Linked DNA regions of Pelodiscus sinensis. The protein of the gene in region 1 binds, or shares a complex with, the protein of each later gene. Links are inferred from orthologs where the notes say so. Each region holds a gene or a part of one and is shown in the gene's direction. Other genes may lie near its edges.

Region 1 (7,469 bases):
GAGCGGCCGCGCGAGCACCCGGCTCACAGGGGGCCCCAGGAGCAGGTGGGGGTCGCTGGAAATCGGGTGCCGGTCGGTGATGCTGGGGGCCGCCAGCCAGCGGAACAATTCCCCTCCCGCCGGGGCTCTCTGAGCCTCTGCCAGGGCCACGCAGGAGGAGGGGGAGGTGGCAGGGTCCCTTCGGGAACCACTGAAGCCCACGGCGAGGAGAGGGGCCCGTGCCTGCTGCTGAGAATGGGGTCGGTGGGAGCGCTGGGGTCCCAGCCCCACAGAGCAGAGGGGCTGCTCCCGGTTTAGCCCCTGGGGTGGGTTACAAGGAGCCCCCCCCCCTTCAGCTGGCACTGGCTGGGGGGAACGTCAGATGTTCACCCGCTTGTGCACGGCTGGGGGAGGCGTGCGACCCCCTCGCTCTGTGCGCGTGCGAGCGCGTTGCAGCCCCTGCAGCAGCGAGCTCGGAGCGCCCCCGATACGCACAGGCCCCGCCGCCGCCTCTGGCCCTTTAAATCAGCCAGGCTGTCCAGTCTCTGGAATCAGATCCACCAGGGTGGGGGGGCGGGGGGGCCTGGCTCTTATTTAAAGTCACTGACCAGCCGACGCAGGCTCACTCCGCAGGAGCGCCGAGCCAGCGGCTGCAGGGGCAGCCCAGGGACAGGTGGGTCTTCGGGGGCAGCCCAGGGGAGGGGCAGCTGTACAGGGGAGCCCAGGGGTCACCCCGGCTCTGGTCTGGCCCCCTCTGCTCTTGGCAGGGCAGGGCTTAACGAGGGGGCCTGGCAGCCACCCCATGGCTCTGGGCACAGCCAGGCCGGCGGGGATCAAGAGCCCCGTGTCAGAACTTGCTTTGTGCAGGGGGTGGGGCTGGTGGCTCCGAACCCCACGATGCCCTCTGACTCCTCGGCTCAGCACGGCCAGCGGCCTGGGGCAGAAGGGAGCAGGGGGCAGGGACAGGAACCACACACCCCCCTCCGGGCAGGTGCTATTTCTGCCCTGAAAGTTTCCCCAGGGGTCCGGCTGGAGGCAGGCCCGGTTCATCCTCGCCCGGTGGCTTCTGGCATGGGACCGGAGCTGACACCCCCAGCCCCGGCCCCTGGCTGGCATGGCCGGGCTGCCCAGCTCCCCGCGGGCAGGTGCGCCCGTCCCCGCACCCTCTGCCACAGCCCCCACGTGGGCAGCCCCTGTGAAGCCCCCTGGGGCTGGCTGGGCCCCACAGGCGGCTCTCCCGCCGTGGGTCTGCCAGGCAGGTGGCTCCCCCTCAGCCCTGCACGCTGTCTCCGACAGGGCCGGCGCGATGGCGTCCCAGCTGGAGCACGCCATGGAGGGGCTGATCGCCGTCTTCCACCACTACTCGGGCAAGGAGGGCGACAAACGCAAGCTGAGCAAGAAGGAGCTGAAGGAGCTGCTGCAGACGGAGCTGGGCTGCTTCCTGGAGGTGGGGATCAGCCCCCCAGGCCCCATGTGCGTGGCACCGTGCTAGCCCCGGGGGCCGGCCCTGTGGAGGTGGGGGGGTCCTCTGGCACGGAGCAGGCAGGCCTAGGTGCCCCCGCCGTCCGGCGCAGGGACCACAGGACGCCCGCCTCCCCTCCCGTGGGGGGCAGCCAGCCGCACAGCAGGAATCGGAGGCGGCCGAGCCAAGCCAGGTGCCGGGGCAGGGTCGCTCCCCTGGGTAGGGCTGGAGACGGTTCCCGGCATCTGGGCTCCAGCCCCTCCCAGGCTGACGGGCCTTGCTGGTATGAAGTTTCCCAACATTCCTCTCTGCCTTCCCCCGGCTCCCACTGGCTTCTCCTGCCCCACTGCAGCTCCAGCCCTTCCCGCCCCCTCCCTGCCGAGCCCTCTGGCCTCTCTCCCCCCGGGCCGGCTCCCCACAGCCCCAGCCCGGCGTCCCCCTAACCCTTCCTGCTCGGGCGTCTCTGCTGCAGACCCAGAAGGACGCTAGCACCGTGGACGGCATCATGCAGGACCTGGATGTGGACGGCGACGGGGAGGTGGACTTCAAGGAGTTCGTGGTGCTGGTGGCTGCGCTCACCGTGGCCTGCAACGCCTTCTTCTGGGAGGACACCTGAGTGGGGAGCCCCCCTGGAGCCGCAGCCCCCCCACCCCCGTTCTGAGCCAGCCGGCGGCCCCCCTCTAACCACTAGACAGAGCTACTCATTAAAGGCACCAAACGCGCCTGGTGTCCCGTCCCTTCCTCGGGGCCGCCGAGCCGAGTGGGGAGGGGACACGGCTGCAGCAGGGCTCGGGGAGGTTGGGAGTGGGGAGAGTGCTGGCTCCAGGGTCGATGCTAGCCCTGGAGTTAGGAGAGGGTGGAGGCCGTGCCCTGGCCCGTGGGGCTGGGCTCTGGGCCCTCAGACTCGGGGTTCCTGGGGGGACAGGAGCCATCCGTTTTCAGGGCAGTGCCAGGGGGAGAGTCGCCCCTGGCCAGCCAGTGAGGACCCCTCCCCACCCATTCACCACCTGTGCTCGGTGCTCCCGTTGGCTCTCTTGGCCCCTGCCCCTCTGACCCACGGGCCAAGCAGGCCGCTGGCTCTGGCGTCACCCACGTGCCTCAGCCAGGGCCACCGCACAAAGGAGCCCGCGTTCATGCCCATTCGTAGCTGGCGCCACGTGGCACAGGCCCCCCCAGGGCGACCCTGCCTCAAGCAGGCCGGTCGCTGTCGGAAAGAGGCAGGGTCCTGCAGGGAGGGGAATGGGGGCGGCTGGGGGAAGGGGGCAGCAGCGTGGGTGACGCAGGTGGGGCTGGACAGCTTCTGCTGGGGCGGGCAGGAAGTTCACAAACACGGTGCCGCACCCATTCCCCAAGGGGAAGAACCCGTTCTTATCTCCCTCCCGAGGGCGGCCGGGAGCCCAGTAAACAGCCTCCCCTGACTGGGACCGGCTGTTTCGCTGAGCAGCACGCAGCGCGGGGAGCGCCCCTCGAGGGCCGACGCGGCTGACTGCAGCCACCGCGGCATGGACAAGCGCGTCGGAGGCAAGCAAACTGCACAGCGATCAACGTGTCCGCAAGGGGCCAGGAAAAAGGCTGGCGTGCCCGTGTGAGTCGGGGAGCCTGCAGGATCAGAGGCTGAGCGCTGGCCTCCCGTCCTCTGCTGCAGGTTCTCCTCTCCCCTTCCCAGCCAGGGCCTCGAAGCCCGCGATGCAGAAAACGGCCTTGAACTGCTTGCAGCAGGGAGCAAACTGACCCGTCCCCACCAGACGCACACCCCCTGGCTGGGCTGCGCTAGTTCGGACAGCACGCGGAGCTGGGAGTAGCCCCACTGCAGGAAAGAACACGATGAGCCCTCCAAGGCCTTGTTTCAAATGTGGCTTCCCATTGTTTTTCCATAGTGAAAGCGAAGTGACCGGGATCCGCGAGGCCGCGTTGCCAAGTACGGCGATGCAGCTTTCACCCAGCGGGGACGTGGAAAGACCCTGCCGTTACTATGGTTTAAAAAGGGGGAATCCCGTCTCTGGCTCCGGATTTCGGAAGGCTTGAGCCTCGCGCTGGTGCTGCGCGTGTAACGCACACAACGCGCACCACTGCCCTAACGCACACAACGCGCACCACTGCCCTAGCGCACACAACGCGCACCACTGCCCTAGCGCACACAACGCGCACCACTGCCCTAGCGCACACAACGCGCACCACTGCCCTAGCGCACACAACGCGCACCACTGCCCTAGCGCACACAACGCGCACCACTGCCCGCCGCCACCCGCATCCGCCGACACAGAACCACGAGCCCGGCCACGCGGGCGCTTCTCCCAGGAGCGCACCCCTCGCGATTCCCCCCGACGGGCCGGCCGTAGGACTAACTCCATGGGGCTCCCACCGCGGGGTCCCGTCTGGGGCCCCAAGGGGAGCTCAGGCCCTGTGGCTGTCCCTGGGGCTGGTGTCTGAACGCGGGCGAGAGCCGAACCCGGAGCCCGCCCCATCCTCGCGCAGAGCAGCCCTGTGCTGGGAGGGCTGGGGGCGGGGCTCGGGGGTGGGCACAGACGCTTCTCCCTCGCCCCCCAGCCTGCAGGGGAGCCCCCCTAACCAGCTGCCCCCAGGACTGGCACCCTCCACCTTGGGGCCACAATCCATGCCCCCTTTCCAGCCCAGGCTACCCCCCAGCTATTCCCTCCCCCCACCCTAGCCTACTTTCCATCATGGCACCCTCCCAGCCCCAACTCTGTCGTTGCCAGCTCTCCCGGAGCAGACAGATGGGATGCCATTTATAGCCATGGTGTGCAGCCCGTCCGGTCCGGGAGAGTTGGCATCCGCACGCCACTGCGGAAAGAGCCCTCTCAAGCCCTGCCCTCTGGCCAAGGCCCGCCCCATTCACTCGGAGTGGTCACGTGGCTCAACCACGCCCCCTCCCTCCGGGGCGGGAAAGCGAGGGTGCGATCACGTGGCGCAAGGCGCCGCGAGGGCCGCGCGTTCTCGCGCCTGCGCAAGCGCGGTGGCGCCGGTCGCCATTTTCCCCCGGCTCGGCGCGGGGGGAGTAGGGAAGCGGGCGGCGGCCATTTTGTTTTCGGCGCCTGAGGGAGCGAGCGGCCGCGCGAGGCAGCGGGAGCGGGCGGAGGGGACGGAGCCCCACGGAGCCAGCCCCGCGCCCCACCCCCGCCCCGCGGCGCCGCCCGGAGTCCTGGCGACCGTCTGCTTCGGTGAGCGGCCGGGCCGGGCTGGGGGGCGGCCGCTCGGGCCCTGCGCCCGGCCGGGGACAGCGGGGCCCGGGGCCGCGTGCTCGGGGGCCGCGGGGCCTCAGGCGCCGCCGCTCCCCGGCCCGGCAGCGGCCCCCTCGGCACCGGCGGGGCGGGGCCTTCCCGCTTAGTGCCCCGGCTGCCGCGTTCCCGCCCCCGCCGGGACATGTCTCGCAGGCGGGCCCCCTCCCCCCCCCGACAGAGGGGCGCTGCCAGGCGGGCCCCCCCTCCCCCCCCCCGACAGAGGGGCGCTGCCAGGCGGGCCCCCCCTCCCCCCCGACAGAGGGGCGCTGCCAGGCGGGCCCCCCCTCCCCCCCCCCGACAGAGGGGCGCTGCCAGGCGGGCCCCCCCTCCCCCCCCGACAGAGGGGCGCTGCCAGGCGGGCCCCCCCTCCCCCCCCCGACAGAGGGGCGCTGCCAGGCGGGCCCCCCCTCCCCCCCGACAGAGGGGCGCTGCCAGGCGGGCCCCCCCCTCCCCCCCCCGACAGAGGGGCGCTGCCAGGCGGGCCCCCCCTCCCCCCCCCCCGACAGAGGGGCGCTGCCAGGCGGGCCCCCCCTCCCCCCCCCCCGACAGAGGGGCGCTGCCAGGCGGGCCCCCCCTCCCCCCCCCCGACAGAGGGGCGCTGCCAGGCGGGCCCCCCCTCCCCCCCCCCGACAGAGGGGCGCTGCCAGGCGGGCCCCCCCCTCCCCCCCCCGACAGAGGGGCGCTGCCAGGCGGGCCCCCCCCTCCCCCCCCCCGACAGAGGGGCGCTGCCAGGCGGGCCCCCCCTCCCCCCCCCCGACAGAGGGGCGCTGCCAGGCGGGCCCCCCCTCCCCCCCCCCGACAGAGGGGCGCTGCCAGGCGGGCCTCCCCCCCCCCCCCCGACAGAGGGGCGCTGCCAGGCGGGCCTCCCCCCCCCCCCCGACAGAGGGGCGCTGCCAGGCGGGCCCCCCCTCCCCCCCCCCCCCGACAGAGGGGCGCTGCCAGGCGGGCCCCCCCTCCCCCCCCCCCCCCGACAGAGGGGCGCTGCCAGGCGGGCCCCCCCTCCCCCCCCCCCCGACAGAGGGGCGCTGCCAGGCGGGCCCCCCCTCCCCCCCCCCCGACAGAGGGGCGCTGCCAGGCGGGCCCCCCTCCCCCCCCGACAGAGGGGCGCTGCCAGGCGGGCCCCCCCTCCCCCCCCCGACAGAGGGGCGCTGCCAGGCGGGCCCCCCCTCCCCCCCCCCGACAGAGGGGCGCTGCCAGGGGGGCCCCCTCCCCCCCCCCCCGACAGAGGGGTGCTGCCAGGTGCGCCCCCCCCCGACAGAGGGGTGCTGCCAGGCGCGCCCCTCTCCCCCCCCCCCCCCACACACACACTGTGGACTAGTTGAATAACTGACAGGAGTTCAACAAATGCCCTGGTAGCGCCTGCAGACTGACACAGCAGGCAGCTGGTATCGGTCTTCACGGTGCTATTAAAGTTTTCCCTGTTACAGACCAACGTGGCTACCCCCCCTGAAGCTTTTGGTAAGAATTCACGAGGTTACTCGACTGTTCGGTTAACCGATATTCAGCATCCCTAGACGAGACCACATAACTCACCAGTCTGTTGAAAGGTGCATTGGGACATTTCACGATGCCATGAAACACGCTGCTGGTGCAAGTGCATCGCTCATGTGCGGTTCTTGGCTGTCTTCACCCACAGACACAATGGCCTGGAAAATCTAGCCAAATCATTCTACGGGCTCAGTTCTTCCTGCTAAGACTGGCTGTTGTTCATTTCAGACTATCGCGATCTGAAGATGGCTGCGCAGTCGGCGCCGAAGGTTGTGCTAAAGAGCACCACCAAGATGTCTCTGAACGAGCGGTGAGGAAGCCAACAGCAACTTCAGCTCATAAGAATTTTTTTACTTAATTGTCACTGTGTCCAGTGTCCAAAGCCAACGTGGTTTCTGCCCTGTTTTAACCTAACTAAAACAAAGCAGGTGGCTATGCGCCTCTGGCTTAAGTCTCAGCAAATGTGGTACACAAGGTTAAAAGGGCAATTATCTTGGAGGATTTTGTCAGTAGCTGTTAATATTAAACTGAGACATAAATATGGTGGGATGTTTTATAAAAAGAGAGAAACCTCGCACCCTCCCTTTTTCTTCCACATGTTTTTACATTTTAAATAGTTGACACTGCAGCATGGTAGCATGTTACCAACGCTGCAGAAGGCTTGTTGCTTTGTCCAAGGTAGACACACGCATGGGTCTGGCCTGTAAGAGGCATGCAGCAGGCCACCAAACCAGCCCAAAGGCCCTTTAACAATGTTCTTGGGCCTTGTAAGAGGCAAATGCTTTGCTTCATCTCCATCGCTTTTCTTTCTTGGCACTGCTTTCTTTTTGTTTCCTCTCTTAAATATCCTCCAGCACTTTCATGCCATTATGCTTTTGCAAATCTATAATGACGAACTAACATTGATGCTTCTGATCATTTTTCACTTACTCACTCTCAGATTAAGCGTTAATGTCATTAAACCAAAGAGAAATGAAGCCATTTATAAGTTGTCCTTATTTCGGTATGGGCTGCACTTTTAGCCAGTGCCTGTGGCTTATGGCAGGGCAGGCAGGTACCATACAGGGGAATTATGGACCTGTTAATTTTGTTAGTTCTAGTCAGACCACATTGAGCACTTTGTAGTGCTTCATTTCACTGTCATTTGTGGCTTTTAGGGTACTGGTAAAAGAGCTTACTTTTTGATCATATGTTCATGCCACATAATCTTAAAGGAGGAAAATTCCCAGCATACCAAAGAAATTCCTAAATGCCCAAGAAATTGTATTCTGAACAAATGCTATCAGGTGGTACCTCCTGTG
Region 2 (7,318 bases), on another chromosome or scaffold:
TCCCCTTTATTCGGCTCTGGGGAGGCCACATCTGGAGTGTTGTGTCCAGTTCTGGGCCCCCCACTACAGAAGGGACGTGGGCGCATTGGAGGGGGCCAGCGGAGGCGACCGAAATGATTGGGGGGCTGGATCACATGACCTACGAGGAGGGGCTGAGGGAGTTGGGTCTGTTCAGTCTGCAGCAGAGCAGAGCGAGGGGGGATTGGAGAGCAGCCTGCAGCTCCCGGCAGGGGGTCCGGAGAGGCTGGCGAGAGGCTGGTCTCAGGGGCGGCGGGTGGCAGAACAGGGAGCAACGGGCTCAAGTAGCAGCGGGGTGGCTCTAGGTTGGAGATCAGGACAAAAGCTTTCCCTAGGCGGGTGGGGCAGTCCTGGGCTGGGTTCCCTAGGGACGGGGAGTCTCCATCCCTCGGGGTGTTTACATCCCGGCTGGACCAAGCCCTGGCGGGGACGGTTGAGTTGGGATTGGACAGGGGGCTGGACTCGATGGCTCCTGAGTCTCTTCCAGCCCACGGGTTCTAAGTGTGTGGGAGTCCCTGGCTGGGGGCACTGCTGCAGGGAAGCTCACAGCACTGCCAGGGAGAGGGTGGGGGGCACTTTCCAGTGCTCCCGGGGTAAGGAGTGGTGGGCTGCGGGGTTCAGAGAACGCCATGGGGCCAGCCTCACCCACGTTGAACTCTCAGGCCAGGCAGCCGGCCAGGAGAAACATGCCCCCCCCCCCCCCACGCCTCCAGCCTGGAGGTGAAATGTAACCCGGTGGGGCCCCTGGAAACTCCCCCAGGCCCGGGGGGGGGGGCAGCCCCATAAACAGTCCAGACACCCTGGCTCCAGGCCCTTTTCCTCTTTATTAGCGCCTGGGCAGCAGGAGAGGCATAAAACCGTCCGTTCGGCTTGTCTGGTGCAGCGGGGCCCTGCTGCAGCGTGTCCAGGCCCTGTCGGTCTGTCCAGCCCCAGTCTCTCCAGCTGGGAGGGGGACAGCCCTGGTCTCAGAGCTCCATCTCCTGGGGCTGCCCCCGGCACAGGGGAGGCAGCAGGGGGGCGGCTAGTGCCCCGGAGGGCAGCAGGAGGGTGTGGATGGAGTAGGGCACCCGGCTGCCGGGGGGCGCCCACAGCACCAGCTCCGTCGAGGGGTTCCTGGGGGGGGAAGCAGACAGAGGAGTTAGTGAGGCTGGCCCCAGAGGTCCCTCCCCGCTGTGGGGCAATACTCACAGGCAGTGCAGGAGCTGGGGGGCCAGGAGGCTGTCCCTGGGGGGGTCCGGCTCCCCCAGGCTGAGCAGGGTGCAGTCGGCCATGCTGAACTCCCCCTCCAGCACCACGCCGCTCTCCTCGGACTCCGCCGTGCTGGCGTCCTCACTTCCTGCAGCCAGGGGCAGCCTGGGGAAACACAGTGCTGAGATGCAGCCACCTCTGGGGTGAGGCAGCTGGTGAGCAATGCCCCCCTCGTGCTCTGCCCTGGGGCGGGGCCAAGGGTACCTCTGCTCCTGCAGCCAGGGCTCCCAGGGGCGGCTGGCAGCCGGGCCCTGGGCGGGGAAGCCGTTGGCGCTGTAGAGGTGGTCGTTCTCCAGGCTCAGGGAGTTGAAGCGAGCAGCCATCTTCTCCTCCGACAGGAACTGCTTGGGGCCAGGCTGCCTGCGGCGGGGGGAAGAGGAGCGCTCCTGCACACCAGCCTAGGGGGCGCCCGGGCCCCGCGGCGCTCAGTGGCACCGAGACGGTTTCCCAGCATGCACGGCGGGGACCAGGCTTCCTGGGGACCAGTGCAGACAAGCTGGAGAGCTCCCAGAATCCCTTGCACCCGCTCACATCAATCTAGTCGTGAGGCCAAGAACTTCCCCCAACGCAATTCACCAAGCTACACCTAGCGTGGGAACTCCCAGCATGCACTGCCCCATCACACCCAGCCCTGGGACTCCCAGCATGCACTGCCCCCAGTCACGCCAAGCCCTGGAACTCCCAGCATGCACTGCCCCATCACACCCAGCCCTGGGACTCCCAGCATGCACTACCCCCAGTCACGCCAAGCCCCGGGACTCCCAGCATGCACTGCCCCCAGTCACGTCAAGCCCCGGGACTCCCAGCATGCACTGCCCCATCACACCCAGCCCTGGGACTCCCAGCATGCACTGCCCCCCGTCACGCCAAGCCCCGGGACTCCCAGCATGCACTGCCTCATCACACCTAGCCTGGCACTCCCAGCATGCACTGCCCCCAGTCACGCCAAGTAGGGAGGGTCTGAGAACAGCCAGTCGGTGGTGCCAAGCGAGGGATCCCCCAGCATGCATTGCAGCCTGGCTGGGTTTCCCCAGGAGGGGGCGATGCCTGCCCTACTCACGGCTCCTCCTGCTCCAGGCGGCGTTTGAGGGCCAGCGATGCTGCATGGGGCAGCTGGCGGACGCTGAAACACGAGGGGAGAGTGGCAATCAGGGCTCCGGTCTCCCTCCCCGTTGGCTCAATCCCAGAAGCCTCCGTTCCCAGCCTCCGCCCCCACCCGCTCACCATGGTAGGGCCGTGCCGGTGAAGCTCACCACCCCCTGAGCCCGAGCGGCCCAGGGCATTCTGCTGGGCACCTCCTGCCGCCAGTCAAGGCTTGGGGCCATGCAGCGGGGGGAGCCCAGCCTTGGGCGGCGGCTCCAGCCCATGTCCCCCCCAAGGCAGGGGCAGCGCCGGGGCTCGAAGCTGGGGGTCACCGCCAGCCCCAGCTGCCAGGGTGGGGGGGCCATCCACGGGTCATCGCCTGGGGAGAGAAGGGAGAGTTACACACTCAGCAACCCGCCGATGGGCCGCAGTCTGCCCCACGCCGCTCCCAAGTTGCCCAGCAGCCAGACCCACCGAACTGCAGGGCTCCCCGTATGCACTGGGGTGGGTCACCGCAACCCTAGGGGTTCCCAGAATGCACTGGGGCGGGTCATGCCAAGTCTAGGGGTTCCCAGAATGCTCTGGGGTGGGTCATGCCAAGCCTAGGGGTTACCAGAATTCATTGGGGTGGGTCATGCCAAGCCTAGGGGTTCCCAGAATGCACTGGGGTGGGTCATGCCAAGCCTAGGGGTTCCCAGAATGCATTGGGGCGGGTCATGCCAACTCAGGGAGCTCCCAGAATGCTCTGGGGTGGGTTAAGGCAATGCCAAGGAGCTCCCAGAATGCACTGGGGTGGGTCATGTCAAGCCTAGGGGTTCCCAGAATGCACTGGGGTGGGTCATGCCAAGCCTTGGGGTTCCCAGAATGCACTGGGGCGGGTCATGCCAACTCAGGGAGCTCCCAGAATGCTCTGGGGTGGGCTAAGGCAATGCCAAGGAGCTCCCAGAATGCACTGGGGTGGGTCATGCCAAGCCTAGGGGTTCCCAGAATGCACTGGGGTGGGTCATGCCAAGCCTAGGGGTTCCCAGAATGCACTGGGGCGGGTCATGCCAACTCAGGGAGCTCCCAGAATGCTCTGGGGTGGGCTAAGGCAATGCCAAGGAGCTCCCAGAATGCACTGGGGTGGGTCATGCCAAGCCTAGGGGTTCCCAGAATGCACTGGGGTGGGTCATGCCAAGCCTAGGGGTTCCCAGAATGCATTGGGCCGGGTCATGCCAAGCCTAGGGGTTCCCAGAATGCACTGGGGCGGGTCATGCCAAGCCTACGGGTTCCCAGAATGCACTGGGGCGGGTCATGCCAAGCCTAGGGGTTCCCAGAATGCATTGGGCCGGGTCATGCCAACTCCGGGTGCTCCCAGAATGCACTGGGGCGGGTCATGCCAAGCCTTGGGGTTCCCAGAATGCACTGGGGCGGGTCATGCCAAGCCTTGGGGTTCCCAGAATGCACTGGGGTGGGTCATGCCAAGCCTAGGGGTTCCCAGAATGCTCTGGGGCGGGTCATGCCAAGTCCAGGGGTTCCCAGAATGCCTCGCACCCAGCTGCCACACCCTATAGAGAGGGGCGGGGCCTGATTAAGGGGTGTGGCCGAAAGAAAGGGCGGGGCAGAAGGCGGAGCTCGATCCCGCGCATGCGCAGAGCGAAGGAGCGACGCCAAGCGGCGCGGGCCATGTCATTCGTTTCGCGCCCGGAGAGGAGTTAGGGCGGGGATCGGCGCACGCGCGGTACGGACCTTGGGGGAGTTTTTTTCGCGCCGATCGGGTTGCTTTTTCTTCTTCCCCTCCCCCCACCTCAACGTTCTCAGGATTCTCCGCCGCGGCCTTCCTTGTAGGGTGCGCGCGCAGCCGCTCCTGTCATGTGACGGGGCGAGCCAATGGAGTACTGCGCCGCGCGGCCACCCGGGAAGTGTAGTCCTGGGCTTTTGCGAGAACGGGGCCAGCCGGCGCGTGGAGACTCCACTTCCCGTCGGGCCCCGCGCGCGCTCGCCGCCGGAGCCAAGCCAGGCGGGGTCGCGCAGCCTGCGGGGAGCTGCAGTCCTCGGCGCGGTGGGATGACGTAAGGGGAGCGCGACACGGAGGCGCATTGCATGGGGAGACCTCATGGCACCGGGGCAGGTAAGTGGGGCCGGGGAGAGGGAGGAGCTCCCAGCATGCACCGGGCTGGGTCAACCCCACCGCATTCTGGGAGCTCCCCGGCGTGGCGGGACCCGGCCCGGTGCATTCTGGGAGCTCCCGGCGTGGCGGGACCCGGCCCGGTGCATTCTGGGAGCTCCCCGAGTTGGCGGGACCCGGCCCGGTGCATTCTGGGAGCTCCCCGGCTTGTCGGGACCCGGCCCGGTGCATTCTGGGAGCTCCCCGGCTTGTCGGGACCCGGCCCGGTGCATTTTGGGGGCTCCCCGGCGTGGCGGGACCCGGCCCGGTGCATTCTGGGGGCTCCCCGGCGTGGCGGGACCCGGCCCGGTGCATTTTGGGGGCTCCCCGGCGTGGCGGGACCCGGCCCGGTGCATTCTGGGGGCTCCCCGGCGTGGCGGGACCCGGCCCGGTGCATTCTGGGAGCTCCCCGGCGTGGCGGGACCCGGCCCGGTGCATTCTGGGAGCTCCCCGGCGTGGCGGGACCCGGCCCGGTGCATTCTGGGAGCTCCCCGGCGTGGCGGGACCCGGCCCGGTGCATTCTGGGAGCTCCCCGGCGTGGCGGGACCCGGCCCGGTGCATTCTGGGAGCTCCCCGGCGTGGCGGGACCCGGCCCGGTGCATTCTGGGAGCTCCCCGGCGTGGCGGGACCCGGCCCGGTGCATTCTGGGAGCTCCCCGGCGTGGCGGGACCCGGCCCGGTGCATTCTGGGAGCTCCCCGGCGTGGCGGGACCCGGCCCGGTGCATTCTGGGAGCTCCCGGCCTGGCGGGACCCGGCCCGGTGCATTCTGGGGGCTCCCCGGCGTGGCGGGACCCGGCCCGGTGCATTCTGGGAGCTCCCGGCTTGGCGGGACCCGGCCCGGTGCATTCTGGGAGCTCCCCGGCGTGGCGGGACCCGGCCCGGTGCATTCTGGGAGCTCCCCGAGTTGGCGGGACCCGGCCCGGTGCATTCTGGGAGCTCCCGGCGTGGCGGGACCCGGCCCGGTGCATTCTGGGGGCTCCCCGAGTTGGCGGGACCCGGCCCGGTGCATTCTGGGGGCTCCCCGGCGTGGCGGGACCCGGCCCGGTGCATTCTGGGGGCTCCCCGGCGTGGCGGGACCCGGCCCGGTGCATTCTGGGGGCTCCCCGGCGTGGCGGGACCCGGCCCGGTGCATTCTGGGAGCTCCCGGCGTGGCGGGACCCGGCCCGGTGCATTCTGGGAGCTCCCGGCGTGGCGGGACCCGGCCCGGTGCATTCTGGGGGCTCCCCGGCGTGGCGGGACCCGGCCCGGTGCATTCTGGGGGCTCCCCGGCGTGGCGGGACCCGGCCCGGTGCATTCTGGGGGCTCCCCGGCGTGGCGGGACCCGGCCCGGTGCATTCTGGGGGCTCCCCGGCGTGGCGGGACCCGGCCCGGTGCATTCTGGGAGCTCCCGGCGTGGCGGGACCCGGCCCGGTGCATTCTGGGGGCTCCCCGAGTTGGCGGGACCCGGCCCGGTGCATTCTGGGGGCTCCCCGGCGTGGCGGGACCCGGCCCGGTGCATTCTGGGGGCTCCCCGGCGTGGCGGGACCCGGCCCGGTGCATTCTGGGGGCTCCCCGCCTTGGCGGGACCCGGCCCGGTGCATTCTGGGGGCTCCCCGGCTTGGCGGGACCCGGCCCGGTGCATTCTGGGAGCTCCCGGCGTGGCGGGACCCGGCCCGGTGCATTCTGGGGGCTCCCCGGCGTGGCGGGACCCGGCCCGGTGCATTCTGGGGGCTCCCCGGCGTGGCGGGACCCGGCCCGGTGCATTCTGGGGGCTCCCCGGCGTGGCGGGACCCGGCCCGGTGCATTCTGGGGGCTCCCCGGCGTGGCGGGACCCGGCCCGGTGCATTCTGGGGGCTCCCCGGCGTGGCGGGACCCGGCCCGGTGCATTCTGGGGGCTCCCCGGCGTGGCGGGACCCGGCCCGGTGCATTCTGGGGGCTCCCCGGCGTGGCGGGACCCGGCCCGGTGCATTCTGGGGGCTCCCCGGCGTGGCGGGACCCGGCCCGGTGCATTCTGGGAGCTCCCGGCGTGGCGGGACCCGGCCCGGTGCATTCTGGGAGCTCCCGGCGTGGCGGGACCCGGCCCGGTGCATTCTGGGGGCTCCCCGGCGTGGCGGGACCCGGCCCGGTGCATTCTGGGGGCTCCCCGGCGTGGCGGGACCCGGCCCGGTGCATTCTGGGGGCTCCCCGGCGTGGCGGGACCCGGCCCGGTGCATTCTGGGGGCTCCCCGGCGTGGCGGGACCCGGCCCGGTGCATTCTGGGAGCTCCCGGCGTGGCGGGACCCGGCCCGGTGCATTCTGGGGGCTCCCCGAGTTGGCGGGACCCGGCCCGGTGCATTCTGGGGGCTCCCCGGCGTGGCGGGACCCGGCCCGGTGCATTCTGGGGGCTCCCCGGCGTGGCGGGACCCGGCCCGGTGCATTCTGGGGGCTCCCCGCCTTGGCGGGACCCGGCCCGGTGCATTCTGGGGGCTCCCCGGCTTGGCGGGACCCGGCCCGGTGCATTCTGGGAGCTCCCGGCGTGGCGGGACCCGGCCCGGTGCATTCTGGGGGCTCCCCGGCGTGGCGGGACCCGGCCCGGTGCATTCTGGGGGCTCCCCGGCGTGGCGGGACCCGGCCCGGTGCATTCTGGGGGCTCCCCGGCGTGGCGGGACCCGGCCCGGTGCATTCTGGGGGCTCCCCGGCGTGGCGGGACCCGGCCCGGTGCATTCTGGGGGCTCCCCGGCGTGGCGGGACCCGGCCCGGTGCATTCTGGGGGCTCCCCGGCGTGGCGGGACCCGGCCCGGTGCATTCTGGGGGCTCCCCGGCGTGGCGGGACCCGGCCCGGTGCATTCTGGGGGCTCCCCGGCG
Region 3 (7,465 bases), on another chromosome or scaffold:
CACCTGTGTGTGCCACCCCGGCCGGGCACCAGCCTCCACCAGGCCCTCGGACCCACCGTGCTGGGAAGGGGCCTCCCTGCCGGAGTGTTTGGCGGCCAGCGCCATACGGGGAGCAAGCTCCCGGCCAGGCAGCACGGAGCCGGGGCAGAGAGCACCTACATTTGGATTTTCATCAGCAGCATGTAGGCGTCCTTCAGCAGAGGCCCGGCCTCCGAGCTCAGCAGGATGTTCCTGGTCACGTGGGACACGATCTCCTTCGGGGGGTAATGCTGGCAGGACACGAAGTCCGTGAGGAACTGCAGGGTCCCCCGGGGGAAGTTCTCCTCCATGGTGGTGACCACCATGCTCAGCTTTGTGCTGGGGATGGGCTGGGCCTTCCGGCGGGCGTTCTGTCAGACAGTGAGGCGTCAGCCGTGCGAGGCGCCGTGTCACACGGGGCGCCGTGCAGCCTGCCAGGACTAACCACAGTTTCACCCCCTGCCTGGCTGTGCTTCGTCCCAGGGGCTGGCGGGGGTGGAATGCCCCAGCACGGAAACGTGCCTTAGCTCCCTTTTCGCCGATTTGGGCGCTGCCTAGAGCCCTGGCTGGAAAAGGGGTCTCTTTCCCAGGAACTCTCCTGGGGCAGGAGAAAGGGAAGGGTACGCAGCCGGGGGCCGTGCTGCGGTCACCCAGGTGGGGCTAGCTTGGACGGCTACCCAGCCCCAGGTGCAGCACCATGACTACCGACTGGTGCAGCTGGGGGGTGTCATGCCCCGCGGGGGGGCTTTGAGCGATGGCTCAGTCACCCAAAGGCAGCTGTGCTGTCACCCGGCCGGCCCTCTCCAGGAAGCAAGAACGCCCTGCATCCGCCTCTAGGAGCTGAGAAGATGCATCTAGGCCCCGGGCAGTGCAGGCACTCACGGATTGGCCTGCGGGCTTGCCTGCCTCCAGCACAGGAGCCCATCTCAATGGACCGTTGCTGGCCCATGCTGACACCGCCGGGTTCCCGGCTCGCCGGGCCCTTTGCTAACGGGGCATTTCCCCAGCACCAAACCCCAGCAGGACGGCAGAGCTCACAGGCCGGCCCAGCAGCTCCTCGGGCTGGTGACGTAAGCTCTGCGCAGTGCTGCCCAGAGGGGATCGGCACAGGCTCATCTGCGCAGAGACCGCACCTTTCCCCTTGGCGCACGCAAGCGGAGACCTGCTGTCCCCTGCCCTCCGCGGGACCTTACCAGGCGCGACCCGCTGTTCGAGCTCTGCCTTGCTGGGGCGCTGCTCGGTACTGAGCGGGCACAAGGCAGCCAGAGGCCAGGACGGGCGCATTGCAGAGGAGGTGGCCAAACCCCAAGTCATTGGTAACCCCCCCCCCGAATTTGCAGTGCGCTGGCTGCAGGCTGGGATGTTGAGCCACAGAGCCCGGCTGACGGGAAAGGCCGGGGGCGCAGCCCAAGCATCGCCCCCCCATATGAGAGGCGCCACCTGGCCCCGGGAGGGAGGCAGGGGCCCCACGTGCTTACCTGGCGGGTTTCCTCGTCCTGTACCACTCCCTGGAGGAACAAGTGGTGCACCGGCATCCTCCTGAAGTAGCGCAGCTTATGCAGCCAGGCCTTGTGGACCAGCCTCCGCCTGCCTGGCTCGGGGGGTTCCTGCTTCGCTGCACCCAGCACCCAGCGACTAGTCTCCAGCAAAGGCCACTCTGGAGACCCGCGGCCGCTTGCAGGGGGGCAGCTGGAGCGGTCGGGAGAGAGTCTCTGAGCCGGGGGCAGGGGCCCGCAGTCCGGGTCGTCCCTTGGCTGGCAGCTACTGGGAGGTTCGGGGACGGAGCAGTCCGAGCCTGCCCTCCAGCTGCTGGCCGAGGAGAAGGAGAACACGTCGGAGTCCAGCTGGAGGCTGGCTAGGGAGCCCAGGTCACTGTTAATGGTGGTGCTGCTGCTGCTGGAGTCGGAGGAGAAACAGCCTCCCCCGTGGGTGCCCTTTGTCTCCGCGTGGGCTCTGTCCCAGGGGGCCCCGCAGCCTTGCTCGGCCTCCTCTTTGCTTTCCTGCTTTACGGCGGGGAGCAGGGGGCCGTGGGGAGGGAGCGCACACTCCGCGCCGACCTCGGGGGAGCCCTCCCCCTCGGTCAGGTCAATCACCGCCAAGTCCTCGCCCGTCAGATCAATGACCTCCTGGGGAGAGAGAGAGCCGTCAGTGCTGCCCCCAAGCCTTGGGGCCCCAGGACGGAGCTCAGCTTCAACAGCCCACATGAAAGTCTTCCTCACGGGCAGCATCAGCACCCAGAAGGCCCTGCCGGGACCCCACGCTCACCCGTGAAGAAAGAGGGTTGAAAGATGGGAGCGGGCTCCCGGCAGAGTCACAGGAAGGGTTAAAAGACTCAAGAACAAATGTCAGAGACCCCCGGAGCTCAAGCTATTTCGCTTGACAAAGAGACGGCTAAGGGGAGACTTGGGCACAGTCTGGGTGTAGCTACGTGGGGCTTCGATGTATCAAGGACTCACGATCCAATGGCCAGAAGCAGAAACTAGACTAATTTAGACTAGAAATAAGGCCAATGTGGAAGAGTGACGGTAATTAGCCCCGGGCCAGCCTACCAAGGGCTGGGGCGGATTCTCCAGCCCTGGCAGTTCTGAAATAAAGAGCAGATGTTTTTTCTAAACGCTCTGCTCTTCGCAGCCAGCGCCTCGGGATTTGGCCCAGAAATTCAGAGCCGCCTTCGGTTCTGCTGCTCAGATGCGAGCACAGCGGCCCCCTTCTAGCCTTAGAATCACGGAGGGGTTTATGCAAGCCAGTGCTGACCCAGAGTGCCGAGAGGTCGAAATACGGCAACTAGTCATGGTGAAAGTAATTTACAAAGCATGCTGGTACAGGAGCCCAGCTCCCGGGGCCCCAGTGGGAAGGGGTGGAGGTCAGCTTCCCCCAGCCGGCCTTTCAAACCAGGGCCTTTAAACCACCAGGCCCTGGGGCAGCTGCCACTTTTGCTCACCCCCTCATGGGCTGTGCCCAGGACGGTAGGGGCAGCCACTTCTCTCCGGCACGCCGTACCCACCCACTTCCACCCCGCTGCCGGGGCACGAGGAACTGGACTGAGAACAGCCCCTCTCAACTCGCAGGGCCTCAGCCAACAGGATAAGCATTGGCAGCCACTGCAAACCTGAGCCATGTCTGGCCCCCGAGCCAGCCAAAGTGCTGGTACCCCTGCCAGCCACACCAGCTGACTGGCTCTGAGGATCAGGCCTGGCCCATGGAGGTCTGGTTAGGCATAGTGAGTGCGTGCATGTGCACACAGGGGGGCGCCCGGCGGGAAGCCAGGGATGGTGGTGCACAGGGGCTAAAGCAGTGGGGCATGAGAGTTTGGTTTTGGGGTTGGGCAGCGAGGGGGATGCAGGGGAGCAGCACGGGGCGGTGTGTGGGGGCAGCACCGGGGGGCCAAGAGGGGCATGGGGAGGCAGCACCGGGGGGCCAAGAGGGGTGCAAGGGGTTGTGGGGGGGCATAGCGCTGGGGGGCCCAGAGGAGCGCAAGGTATGTGTGAGGGGCAGCGGGGGGGCCCAGTGGTGCAGGGGAACAGTGGGGGGCCCAGAGGAGTATGGGGGCAGGGGCAGATATAGGGCAGGGCGAGAGGGGCGACTGCCCTGGGCCCCGCGCATGCGCCGTGGCAAAGGGGGGCCCCGCGAAATTGGACTGCCCTGAGCCCCGCAAAAGGGGCACCTGCCCCTGCATGGGGGGCAGCACTGGGGGGCCCAGCGGTGCAGGGGGAACAGTGGGGGGCCCAGAGGGACATGGGGGGTGTGTGCGGGTAGAACTGGGGGGCCCAGAGGGGCATCGGGCGCGGGGGGGCACGGGGCTGTGGGGGGGGGGCGGGAGTCTGGTGCCGGGGCGGGGGGGCCCAGAGGGGTTCGGGTGTGTGTGGGGGGGCAGCACTGGGGGGCCCAGGCAGGTGCAGGGTGGCGCGAAGCTGTGGGGGGCAGCACTGGGGGCGCGGGGGGGCCCAGAGGGGTGCGGGTGTGTGAGGGGGGCCCAGGCAGGTGCAGGGTGGCGCGAAGCTGTGGGGGGCAGCACTGGGGGGCCAGCGGTGCAGGGGGAACAGTGGGGAGCCCAGAGGGACATGGGGGGTGGGGGCAGCACTGGGGGCGCGGGGGGGCACGGGGCTGTGGGGGGGCGGGGGGGCCCAGAGGGACATGGGGGTGGGGGCAGCACTGGGGGCGCGGGGGGGCGGGGCCGGGACTCACCGCGTGGCCCCGCTCCGAGCCCGAGTGGCGGGTGCGCGCGGCGCCCTCGGCCATGCCCCGCCCCGCGCCGCGCGGGGGCGCTCACGGGGGCCGGGGGGGCAGGCGGCTGGGAGCGGCCCGAGGGGTCCGCGCGCGGCTGCAGGCGGGGCCTGTGACCCGTGCACGGGCCGGCCGCGCGGGGGCGCTGCAGCGCGGGGGGAGGGGCGACGTCCCGCCCCTGGCGCCGGAAGCGGAAGCGGAAGCGCGGGCGGCGGTTGCCATGGCGCTCTCGCCGTACGTGCAGGCCATGCAGGAGCTGTTCCGGGCCAACACGCGCAGCCGCGAGTTCCCGGCGCACGGCGCCAAGGTGCACTCGGTGGCCTGGAGCTGCTGCGGCCGCCGCCTCGCCTCGGGCTCCTTCGACAAGACCGCCAGCGTCTTCGTGCTGGAGAAGGACCGGCTGGTGCGCCCCCCCGGGGCGGGGCTCCGGGCGGGGCGGGAGGTGCTAGGGGGCGGGGCGGGGCTGGGGTGGGAGGGGGCGGGGCTCCGGGCGGGGCGGGAGGTGCTAGGGGGCGGGGCTGGTGGTGGGAGGGGGCGGGGCTCCGGGCGGGGCGGGAGGTGCTAGGGGGCGGGGCTGGGGGGCTTGGCCTGGGGTGGGAGGTGCTAGGGGGCGGGGCTGGTGGTGGGAGGGGGCGGGGCTCCGGGCGGGGCGGGAGGTGCTAGGGGGCGGGGCTGGGGGCTTGGCCTGGGGTGGGAGGGGCTGGGGGGGCGGGGCGGGGCTAGGGGGCTCCGGCCGGGGCGGGAGGGGCTGGGGGGGGGGGCTGGAGCCCGCAGCCCGCGACGTGTTTGGGGGGTTGGGGATCGTTCAGTCCACAGAAGAGCAGGGGGGGGGGGGTTGAGAGCAGCCTGCGGCTCCCGGGGGGCCAGAGGCTCTTCTCAGTGGGGCAGGGCGAGGGGCTCGAGGCTGGCGGGGGCGGGGGGTGAAGGAGAACAATTCTCTTCCTGTAGGTGAAGGAGAACAATTATCGTGGCCACGGGGATAGTGTGGATCAGCTGTGCTGGCACCCCAGTAACCCCGACCTCTTTGTTACCGCCTCTGGAGACAAAACCATCCGTATTTGGGACGTCCGCACCACGAAGTGCATCGCTACCGTGAACACCAAAGGTGGGTGCTGATGTGAGGAGGTTAGAGGGACCCGCACATCTCAGTACAGCTACAAACACTGCTTCTTTTGCAAATGCATCCTGCTCCCAACATGGATGCCAGTAAATTCAGGAAACCTGAGAGCTCTATATGATCAGGGCTCGACAAACTATAGAATCTACTCACCCGTGGCGAGTAGATTTCAGCTGCACACCCCATTTACCGGTGGCATGCGCATGCTCAGTGCGGGGCTGGCGAGCAGCTTTCACTGCCATTTGTCAAGCTCTGTATATGATGATTGTGTGGCAATTGCATCTTTCTGGCTCTTAGTAGCAAATTATAACTATACATTACACCAGGGGTTCCCAACCTTTTTTGGCTCCCGTACCTCCTTGACAAGCTTCTCGTTCCCCAGGTTGGGAACCCCTGCATTACACTATCTCCAGGGAGAATTTGTGTGTGTACCCAGCATTAGCCATGTTCTGACACAGTGTTAAACACCTGAACCTGTTTACATTAGCGCTAGTATTGGTGGAGGTGCACTGATGTTAGACTGTCTCAAAATCTCTCTGGTGTGTGGCTCTAGGGAGAAGGGATAGCTAGAAGTTAGAAAAAAACGTTGAGTCCTCCCATTTCTATTTTTTAAGCATCTTTTCTTCCAAGGTTTCGTTACATATTCATTCCAGTCAGTATATAGGTGGTATATAGGTGCGGGAAATGTGTGCTAGGGTGCTATGCAGGTGAATCCTGCTCTCCCTAACTCAGCTGGGATTAGCAGCACCCCTGCAAATTGTTCCAACACCCCTGAGTCACTACTATGTAAAAAAATTGTTCAGAAACAAGGAGGAGTCCTCTGGCGCCTTAAAGATTAACAGACATATTTGGGCATAAGCTTTCGGGGGTAAAAAGCACTTTGTCAGATGTATGGTTTTTACCCACAAAAGCTAATGCCCAAATATATCTGTTAGTCTTTAAGGTACCACAGGTGCTGTCTGTGCATTTTGCCACTCAAGGCAGAAGGTTTGTGGGGCAGACCTGGGTTAAACGTACAAGAGTCTGTCTATGGCACATGAATGGCTCTTGCCCCCATTAGTGGTGCGGGAGGACCTGCCCACTCTCTTCCATTCCAGGAGAGAACATTAATATCTGCTGGAGCCCCGATGGCCAGACCATTGCTGTGGGAAATAAGGATGATGTGGTCACCTTCATTGATGCCAAAACACATCGCTCCAAGGCTGAGGAGCAGTTTAAGTTTGAGGTGAATGAGATTTCCTGGAACAATGATAACAACATGTTCTTCCTCACCAACGGAAACGGCTGCATCAACATCCTCAGGTACTTACCGGCATGGTCTCTAGTGCGGGGCCCCCCTCTTACATCTCCTGCCCTGCTCCCTCGGGCTGTCTTTCCTTCTCATGGCTCTTGTGTAGACTGATTGCCTTGGCAATAGCTGAGGGCTACAGTGTGGTGTGGTTGGGGGGTTGTGTGCTGTCATAAGCTGGCTGGTAGACGAGGCTGAGAGGTTCCCAATGGGGCTCTAGTCTGCTGTCCTTTGATCGCTAACCCTTTAGGGTTCCTTGCTGGGGGTGGGCCTTAGGGGGTGGGCCTATCTCAGGGGAACAGGGTGTTAAAAGAAATGGGAGTTTTGCGAGGCAGATGTACCTAGTAACGGCTCCAGCATGAGACTGGGAAGCACAGGACACCGGGTGCACAGAGGTGGGAGATCGCTGTGAAGTTATCCCCTGCGACACAGATTCAGCGATGAGGCTGCACCCATCTCTGACCCAGCGCAAGGACTGGGTCTACCCCCAGAAAACCTCAGGGTCCTGCACCTCTATGCCAGGTGCACCAGGTGTGGGCAACTCATGGCCCTCAGATTCCAAGTATGGGCTCTTGAGACCAGGGTGGCTGAACTGGAGGAGCTAAAAGAGAGGGAGGTACACTGCAGAGACTTCCAGGGTAACAGTAGAGCAGTCTCCCCTCCCCCCCCCCCCCCCCCCCCCCGACAGCCTCTGTGCTGTTGAGGGGAAGGAAAGTCTTGAATAACATCAAGCTCGAGCAATCCCATAATTGGGACCTCCCTTCCAGATGATGTCATGGTGCTCCTCTGGGGCCCACTTACTAAGAGACAGGTAAACA
Region 4 (7,791 bases), on another chromosome or scaffold:
AGCGCGGTGGCCATTTTTATTTTAATAAAGCAGGGATTACTTAAATCCCCGCTTCACTGACTATGTCGAGTAAACTACTTTACATGGCTCCGTCGATGGAGCCAGGTAGTCTAGATGCACCCTATGATGTGAAAATTCCAATGAACAGAGCTTTTGGTTCCATTAGTATCTGTGTTCAGCTAATACTAATATACTATTGAAAAGGGCAGGAAAGACTCTAATACTAGGATAGCGTCTAATTCTGTAGGGGGTTTCTTTTGTGCATATGTCTTTTATGGCCATAATTTGTGTTGTTAGAGCTACTTTACCTGTTTTGCAGGATTTTTAAAGTGTTAGCTTTATCTTTATTTTTGAAGTGTTTTTCCCTTGAAGCATTTACACTTATTACACCTGCGGTACCTACTTTTCTTAGTCCACGATCACATAAAATCATGTGTTATGTATTTCAATTAATGCTAAAAACAGACAATAATAATGCACAAGAGCAGAAGCGTTCAAAATATTTTTGTTCTTGATTTCAAAAGAAACTGCGTGAGGCTTTCATATCTCATAATATCAAAAGACTTTATATTACATCAGTGACTAGGGAGGATTTTAAAATTGTATCTGATTTTTAAATCTGCAGAATTACATAACTTGCAATCAATTAATTAGATTTTCCAAAGTAAAGGAGAATCATACCTGAAATGATGAATGGGGAATCATAACTGAATTTGTGTGATTCTAGTTGTGTTCTACAACAATATGTTCCTGCCCTATTAATGTTTGATATTTTTATCAATAAGCTGGAAGAAAATACGTCCTCTGCAAATTCTACGGCAAAGATAAACAATTGTGGAGTAATAATGATAAGGACAAAGAGTGATCTGGATCGCACGGTAAATAGGGCTCATTCAAATAACATGCATTTAATACAACCAAAATTAAAAATTATAAACATAGTAACAAAGAATAGTTGTCACACTTGCAGGATGAAGGACTCTACTCTGGAAAGCAGAGATTCTAATAAGATATCCTGGTGGATAACCAAGTGAACATGAGTTCCCCGGCTAAGGCTGTGACTAAAAAAGGCAATGAAATCTTTAGATGTATAAAATGGGAAATATCAAGTAGAAGTAGAGATATGGTATTGTCTCTGCATATAGTATTGGTGAGATCATTACGCTTTCCGGTTCAAGTGTCTTCTTCCTTTTACTAAAAAGATGCTGGAAAATTGAAAATGGTTCAGAAAAGAGCTACAAGAATGATATGAGTTTTGAAATCCTGCCTTTCAGAGACCCAGAAACTCAATCTTTCTCTTATCAAACAAGGTTTAGAAGGGACTTGATCACAGTTTAAAAGTACATGGAGAGGAGATTTCATTTAGCTGTAGGTTCTTTAATCTATCAGACATGGTCCAATGGATGAAAGCTGAAACTAAACAAGTTCAGACTGGGAAAAGGTGCAATTTTTTTAATAGTGAGGATAATTAATCTTTAGTACAACTTACCAAGGAATGTAGTAGATTTCCATCACTTGAAGTCTATCAGACTGGATATCTTTCTAAAAGACATACTCTAGTTCAACCAGAAGATAGGAACCTGAGACAGGAATCATTTGGCCTGTGTTATTCAGGAGATCAGATTAGATCATCATAATGCTCACTTCTAGCCTTAAAATCTATGAAGTGTTAAATTGCATTTAAAATCCTGTAATTTTATCAAACAAAAGCCATTGATAAGAAGACAGAAGTACAGGCATTTTCCTTTAAATCAAAGTGCTGTTAATTCAAGCATGAGTCAACGACAGAGATCAGTGGAACCATTCTAGAACCCTGAAATGTTCTATAATCAGTGACACATGAAGACATGAGTCACATGAACATCATTAAACAACATGAACTACTCATCTGGACTACTGGATTCTAAATGAACTTTAACCATTAAATAAAAGTATGTAGATAATACTGTGGAGTTCAGTGTAAACACCTGATCAATGGACAGTGGTAATCAAAAACCAAAAAGTCTTATAGTGGATGAAGAAAGTGATAAAAATAATATAAAATAATATGTCATTATATAAATTAATTGTGGTTCTTCGGCTGCAATATAATATTCAACTCTGGCCTAAAAGGACATTGCAGAAAAAGAGAGAGTCCAGAGAAAAGAAATTATTAGACATGAAGGAAGATTTAAAATGTTCAAGACAATATAGTTTACAGAGCAAATGAAGAAAAGGTGATTAGATAGAGGTATGTAAAATAATGAACTGTTAAAAGTGCCTGCTTAAACTTCTCTAATCTATCATTTCTTATAATACTAGAAGATCTGGATGATAGGTGCTTTAAAAAAGCAGACTAGAGGCATCCAATGAAATTAAATGGCAACAAATGCAAAACTGAAAAAAGGAAATGACTTATTTAAACCATACAAAATTAACTGGTGAACTCACTGGCATGAAGTATTATTGAGGCCAAGAGCTAGCCCAATTTAACAAAGAATTAGACACTCATATGAATAATAAAACTATTGAGAGTTACATACTATCATATAGTCTCAGTTAATCTGTAACTGAAAAAATTTAGCAAACAAATGGTCTGGTAGCACTTTATAGAGTAACAAAACATGTAGATGGTATCATGAGCTTTCGTGGGCACAGCCCGCTTTTTCAGATGAAAGCTCATGATACCATCTACATGTTTTGTTAGTCTATAAAGTGCTACCAGACCATTTGCTTGCTGTTTTTTTTCCTGTAACAGACTAACTCAGCTACCCCCTGAAGCTCCTGAAAAAAATTAAAAAACAATGAATGGTCCTGCAGCACCTTAGAGATTAACAAAAAATGTAGACAGTATCATGAGTTTTCGGGGGCACAACCCACTTCTTCAGATGAATGTAGTGGATTGTGTCCCCGAAAACTCATGATACCGTCTACATTTTTTGTTAGCCTCTAAGGTGTTGCAAGACCAATTGTTTTTTAAGTTTATACTATAATATAGAAAATTTAAGAGATAGAAATTACTTATCTATGGTTATTTCTTCTACTATCATCCATCACTATAATATCTCAAAACCTAAATTTATGCTTCAGGATGTAAAGCAAACACAAATTACTTAGGATTAGGGAGAAACCAATTGTCCATTATTGGCATTCTTGTACCTTCCAATAAAATATCTAATACTAGCCACTATAAAAACAAGATACTGAACTAAATAAGCACTGGTCTGATTTGGTATGGCATTTCCTATGTACCTATTAAAGACCATTCTCAGGAGCAAAATTAATCCCTGAGCAAGTTCACCTTTAAACCAGGAAACTGCAAAACATTCCAGTGCTCTCACACTTTTTACTGTATCCTAGATCAATTTTCAAAACAAAAAACTGACCCTAGTGAGAAAAACAAATATTTTAAGCGTACAAAGAAGCACATAAGTTATGTAACATGTGACGATCAAAACAAAAACAGAAGACTATGGTAAAAATATATATGAATGAGAGCATCCAAGTAAAGTCCTCTAAAATGCTTGAAACGTGAATGCTTATTAAAGTATACCACAGTAACACCAGCTACAGCTAACTACACCGTTACTACAGAGTCACAGCTTGTGGTTCCACATGCTAACGCTAACCATATGGCATAAATAAAACCCTAATCTCTCCACCCCCTTGTTCTCTCCCCTATGGTTCCTAGCTTGGGTCCGCATGGATCTCCTCAACAAAGAGCGATGAGGCAGATACCAGACCAGCTAAAACAACAGATGGATTCTCCCTTGGTGTAAACATCTTTAGCGTGGGCATAACTTTTATTCCCACTGCAAACTGATACTTTGTAGGTCAGTAAAAGGGTAAACAAGGTGCTGAGGACAACTCCAGTTGGTGAGCAGCTACCTCACTGGGTTTAGTAGGACCAGTTGGGACTCTGGCAGCATCCTGCCAGATGCAGATGTCTGGTCCTTCTTAGCATAGACGGGAGAATGAATTTTTTTTTGTTTTTTTGCTCAGACTATTTTATATTTTAAAATTAACAGTGACACTGCAGAGTACCGCTTGTTGAGAGATAAGCACAGGTCCAATGTGGTTACTGTCAATGTTTTACCTCAATGAGCTAGGAAAGGGTCAGTCATACCCAACCGGAGTTAGAAATTGCAGTGGTAGCACAAATATAAGGGCGACAGTGATAAGGGACATGGTAGCAACGAGACAAGTGCGTAACACAGCAGCGAAAGCAATGAAGGAAACAACGGCCACAGCAACCAGGAGAAGGGAGATGGTGGGGAGGGATGTTAATTCTAGAGAGCCGATGGTGGTGAAGTTGTCGTGGGGAATAACGGAAAGGATCACATCAAGCGAAACGATGGCGAAGGCAACTGCGATGAGAGAAGGGGTGGTAATGGAAGCCAAAGGCATCATGGAGAACGACGGCAACCGCGGCGGCTCAACGATGGCAAACGCAACCCAACGGAGGAAAATCACGGCCACCCCGGGGCACGATGCCAACGAGGGCGGCAGAGGGGGACGGTGCGAGGCCAATGCCATGGGGGCACCCCAGGAGAGCGTCAACGAGGCCGGCACCCACCCCACGCTGCCCGTGACGGAGACGGGGGGCAGGACGCCAGCCACGGGCACGCGGGCGGTTGCGCGGGGGCCACGCGTGGCGCACGACGGTGAGGGGGCAGGGGGCCCCCACGCACCCAGCACCCGGGGGGGGGCGCCCAGGAGGGGGGGGCCGGGCGAGGCCGGCGCGCGGGGTGGGGCCGGCCGCCCCTCACCTGGTGAGGCCGGTGCCGCGCGGGGTGCGCCCGCCCTCTCCCCCGCCGGCCGGTGGCGCGGCAGCGCGGGGCCCCGGGTCCGCAGGGAGCAGCTCAGGCCCCAGCCTCCGCCTCCATGGCTGCCGCGGCCCCGGCTGCATTGTGGGAAGCTGACCTCACTCGCCGCCGCCCCGCCAGCCGCCTGGGCCGCCATGGGCGCCGTGACCGACGGTGAGCGCGTCCCCGGGCCCGCCCGGGCCTCCCCTGCCCCCTTATAGCGCCCGGGACACGCGGGCCTCCCCCTATAGCGCCCGGGCCGGGCCGGGCCTCCCCTCCCCTTATAGCGCCCGGGACACGCGGGCCGGGCCGGGCCTCCCCTGCCCCCTTATAGCGCCCGGGACAACCGAACCGGGCCTCCCCTCATCCCCTATAGCGCCCGGGCCGGGCCTCTGCCCCCTCCCCGTTACCGGTCGGGCATCCCTCCTTATAGCGCCCCGGGCCAGGCTTTTCCCCGGTACCGCCCGGGCCCCGGGACACGCGGGCCTCCCCCTTATAGCGCCCGGGACAACCGAACCGGGCCTCCCCTCCCCCCTTATAGCGCCCGGGCCGGGCCTCCCCCCCCCCCCCCCGGCCAACCGAACCGGGCATCCCCTCCCCCCTCGGTACCGGCCGGGCCTCCCTCCTCATAGCGCCCGGGCCCCTCGGGCCAACTAGGCCTCCCCTCACCCCACTCCTCGGGCCGAGCCTCCCCTCCCCTCTTATAGCACCCGGGGCGGGCCTCTCCCCGTTACCGGCCGGGCCTCCCTCCTCATAGCGCCCGGGCCTCGCTTCCCTTCCCACCCCCTTATACCGCCCGGAGCTCCTCCGGCCCAGGCCTCCCCCCTTATACCGCCCGGGCCAGGCCTTGCTCTCGCCTCCCCCCTTTTACCGCTCGGGGCTCCCCCGGGGTGATAGCGGGCCGGGCCTCTCCCCCTCCCCCCGGCCAGAGCCTGCCTCTCAGGCCCCAGCTCGTGACCCAGCCCCACAGCGTTGGCCTCGGAGCGCCCCTCGCTCCAGAGACCACAGCGCTTTGGGGGGCCCCTACAGGTCCCTGGGGTGCCCCCCCATTCCCGGGTTTGCCCCCGTGTATTCCAGAGAGACCCCCCGCTGCTGGGGTTCCCAATGGGCCCCCGTCGGCTCCCAGCTCCTGCCTCCCGCACCCCAGCTGTGAACTCCAGGCTTCTCCCTTTTCCCCATGTCCCCTTCCCCTTCCAGAATCTCTGCCTACCAGCTGTCTTCCCTTCTTTCCCACTCCAGAGCTACCGCCCCCATCCACAGAAACAATCACACAACCCTAAGCACCAGGCAGGCCCCATTGCAGAATGCCCCCACTCAGACCTTCTCAATTTGGGAAATTAAGGGGGGGGGGGTACTTGTTGGCAGCGAAGTAATGGGGAAGGGAGGTTGGATACACCGAATACCCTACAGTCAACCATAGAAAATGTTCTCTTCAGTGCCAGGCTGTAATGGGAGGGATATTGTTCAAAACCAGGATCAATCATAACTTGAGGCTGTAACTTACCACGTTTTTAAAATATGATCTTCCTCTACTCTAGATGAAGTTATTCGTAAACGACTTCTAATTGATGGAGATGGTGCTGGTGATGACAGACGAATTAATTTGTTAGTGAAGAGCTTCATTAAATGGTGCAACTCTGGATCTCAAGAAGAAGGGTATTCCATTCTCTGTTTTTCTTCTTTAAAGCAATGTGGTCTAGATACCAGTAGTTCAGAGCCAAAAGCTTGTTTTGATTATAAAAACATTCATTTCATCTTAAAACAATTCATTTCATCTTAAAACATATTTTATTACATTTAAATAGGACCTTGCATTGTTTACAGTCCAAACTCTGCAGCAATTATGTAACCCAGATAATTAGTACTGTAGAGTCATTTTTTGCCAATTCCCTTGATATTAGTATTTTATTTAAAGCTCTAGGTCTTGGGGTTAAGTAATTGGATGGGAATGTCAGCTTTTTTTTTTCTTTACTTATCTACTCCCATTGATGTAGACTGAAAAGTTTGTACTCTAAGCACTCAAAAGCCAGAAGGCAAATAAAAAACCCTTTTAAAAAATCTCAATTTAAAGTGAATTATTTTTTAAGGCCTGATTCATTTTTTTAAAATATTTTGGGTTGGTAATAGTGAATCTACGCTGTTGCTTAAGCACTGTTGAGAGTTCAGTAGTGTTATAATCTTTCTGCTATAGCAACTGATTTTACAGGAACTCACAGCTGTAGTATAGTACAGAGTTTTTCAACTTTTTTTTTATAAAGTACCCACTTTAAAAAAAAAAAAATTATAAGTACCTCCAATACCTACATTTTTCAGACAGACAACATTTTTTTCTACCAGTGCAACACATTTGTTTAAACAACTTAATTGTAGCCGGGCGGGCCATGAAAATTTTTGGGTGTAAAAAGTACAAAAATAACAAAGTGCTGTAAGACTGACAACAAAAATTCAGTTTTCTCTCAATTTCAGTTGTGTTGACTTATCCCCCAGAGTTCTCTCGTGTACCCCTAAGGGTACTGATATCCCTGGTTTAGGAACTCTGGTATAGGATGACTGACAGATATGTCCTGGAGAAGATAGTATGTTGCTTTTGTTCCTCTGTATAAAAAAGTGTCAACGAAAAAGCCCATTAATTAAACTCCATTCAAAATGAAAGGGAGGACTTTATTAGAGACAACACTCTAAAACTAGATGCTTAGAGGAAGTTTTCTTTTGGGTGACTATAAGAGCATTCTGCAGAGCGTTCAGAGCAAGACGTTGTAAAATAGAACTGACAAAGTAGTCTAGGGCTGTTAAATTGCGGTTACCGAGCTAACAGAATAGTCGATAGGACTGCTATGCAGAGCTGCAGTGGGGGTAGCTCCGGGAGCCACCCATGCTGCAGCTCTGCGTTTTAAATGTAGTGAAAATCGTCGGGCTCTTACTACATTTTAAAGGTAGTGGCACCGTGTCTGCATGAGCCGGGACTGCTCGGTCCTGGCTTGTGCTGAGTCCAGCAGCCCCGTTTGTG

What was found.
Region 2: CHTOP (region 1) and THOC6 share a complex: the UniProt entries of both Homo sapiens proteins name them as parts of the transcription/export (TREX) complex. The link is inferred for Pelodiscus sinensis from reciprocal best matches to the Homo sapiens genes CHTOP and THOC6.
Region 3: CHTOP (region 1) and THOC3 share a complex: the UniProt entries of both Homo sapiens proteins name them as parts of the transcription/export (TREX) complex. The link is inferred for Pelodiscus sinensis from reciprocal best matches to the Homo sapiens genes CHTOP and THOC3.
Region 4: CHTOP (region 1) and THOC7 share a complex: the UniProt entries of both Homo sapiens proteins name them as parts of the transcription/export (TREX) complex. The link is inferred for Pelodiscus sinensis from reciprocal best matches to the Homo sapiens genes CHTOP and THOC7.

Annotation. Positions count from the first base shown.
Region 1 is NC_134734.1:23,640,848-23,648,316, reverse strand, and holds the start of CHTOP (chromatin target of PRMT1 protein), read left to right. Parts: upstream 1-4,460; 5' UTR 4,461-4,620; intron 4,621-6,107; exon of another isoform or gene 6,108-6,138; intron 6,139-6,396; 5' UTR 6,397-6,413; coding exon 6,414-6,478; intron 6,479-7,469. Other genes in the region: S100A1 (protein S100-A1), read left to right, coding at 1,286-1,426, 1,914-2,057. UniProt on the Homo sapiens protein: Plays an important role in the ligand-dependent activation of estrogen receptor target genes. May play a role in the silencing of fetal globin genes.
Region 2 is NC_134714.1:134,744,368-134,751,685, reverse strand, and holds the start of THOC6 (THO complex subunit 6), read left to right. Parts: upstream 1-4,318; 5' UTR 4,319-4,444; coding exon 4,445-4,459; intron 4,460-7,318. Other genes in the region: HCFC1R1 (host cell factor C1 regulator 1), read right to left, coding at 984-1,131, 1,207-1,371, 1,471-1,626, 2,327-2,389, 2,491-2,714. UniProt on the Homo sapiens protein: Component of the THO subcomplex of the TREX complex which is thought to couple mRNA transcription, processing and nuclear export, and which specifically associates with spliced mRNA and not with unspliced pre-mRNA.
Region 3 is NC_134727.1:40,973,558-40,981,022, reverse strand, and holds the start of THOC3 (THO complex subunit 3), read left to right. Parts: upstream 1-4,462; coding exon 4,463-4,684; intron 4,685-5,190; coding exon 5,191-5,347; intron 5,348-6,456; coding exon 6,457-6,661; intron 6,662-7,465. Other genes in the region: SIMC1 (SUMO-interacting motif-containing protein 1), read right to left, coding at 160-389, 1,497-2,144, 4,204-4,257. UniProt on the Homo sapiens protein: Component of the THO subcomplex of the TREX complex which is thought to couple mRNA transcription, processing and nuclear export, and which specifically associates with spliced mRNA and not with unspliced pre-mRNA.
Region 4 is NC_134721.1:4,391,554-4,399,344, reverse strand, and holds the start of THOC7 (THO complex subunit 7), read left to right. Parts: upstream 1-4,782; 5' UTR 4,783-4,939; coding exon 4,940-4,958; intron 4,959-6,322; coding exon 6,323-6,440; intron 6,441-7,791. UniProt on the Homo sapiens protein: Component of the THO subcomplex of the TREX complex which is thought to couple mRNA transcription, processing and nuclear export, and which specifically associates with spliced mRNA and not with unspliced pre-mRNA.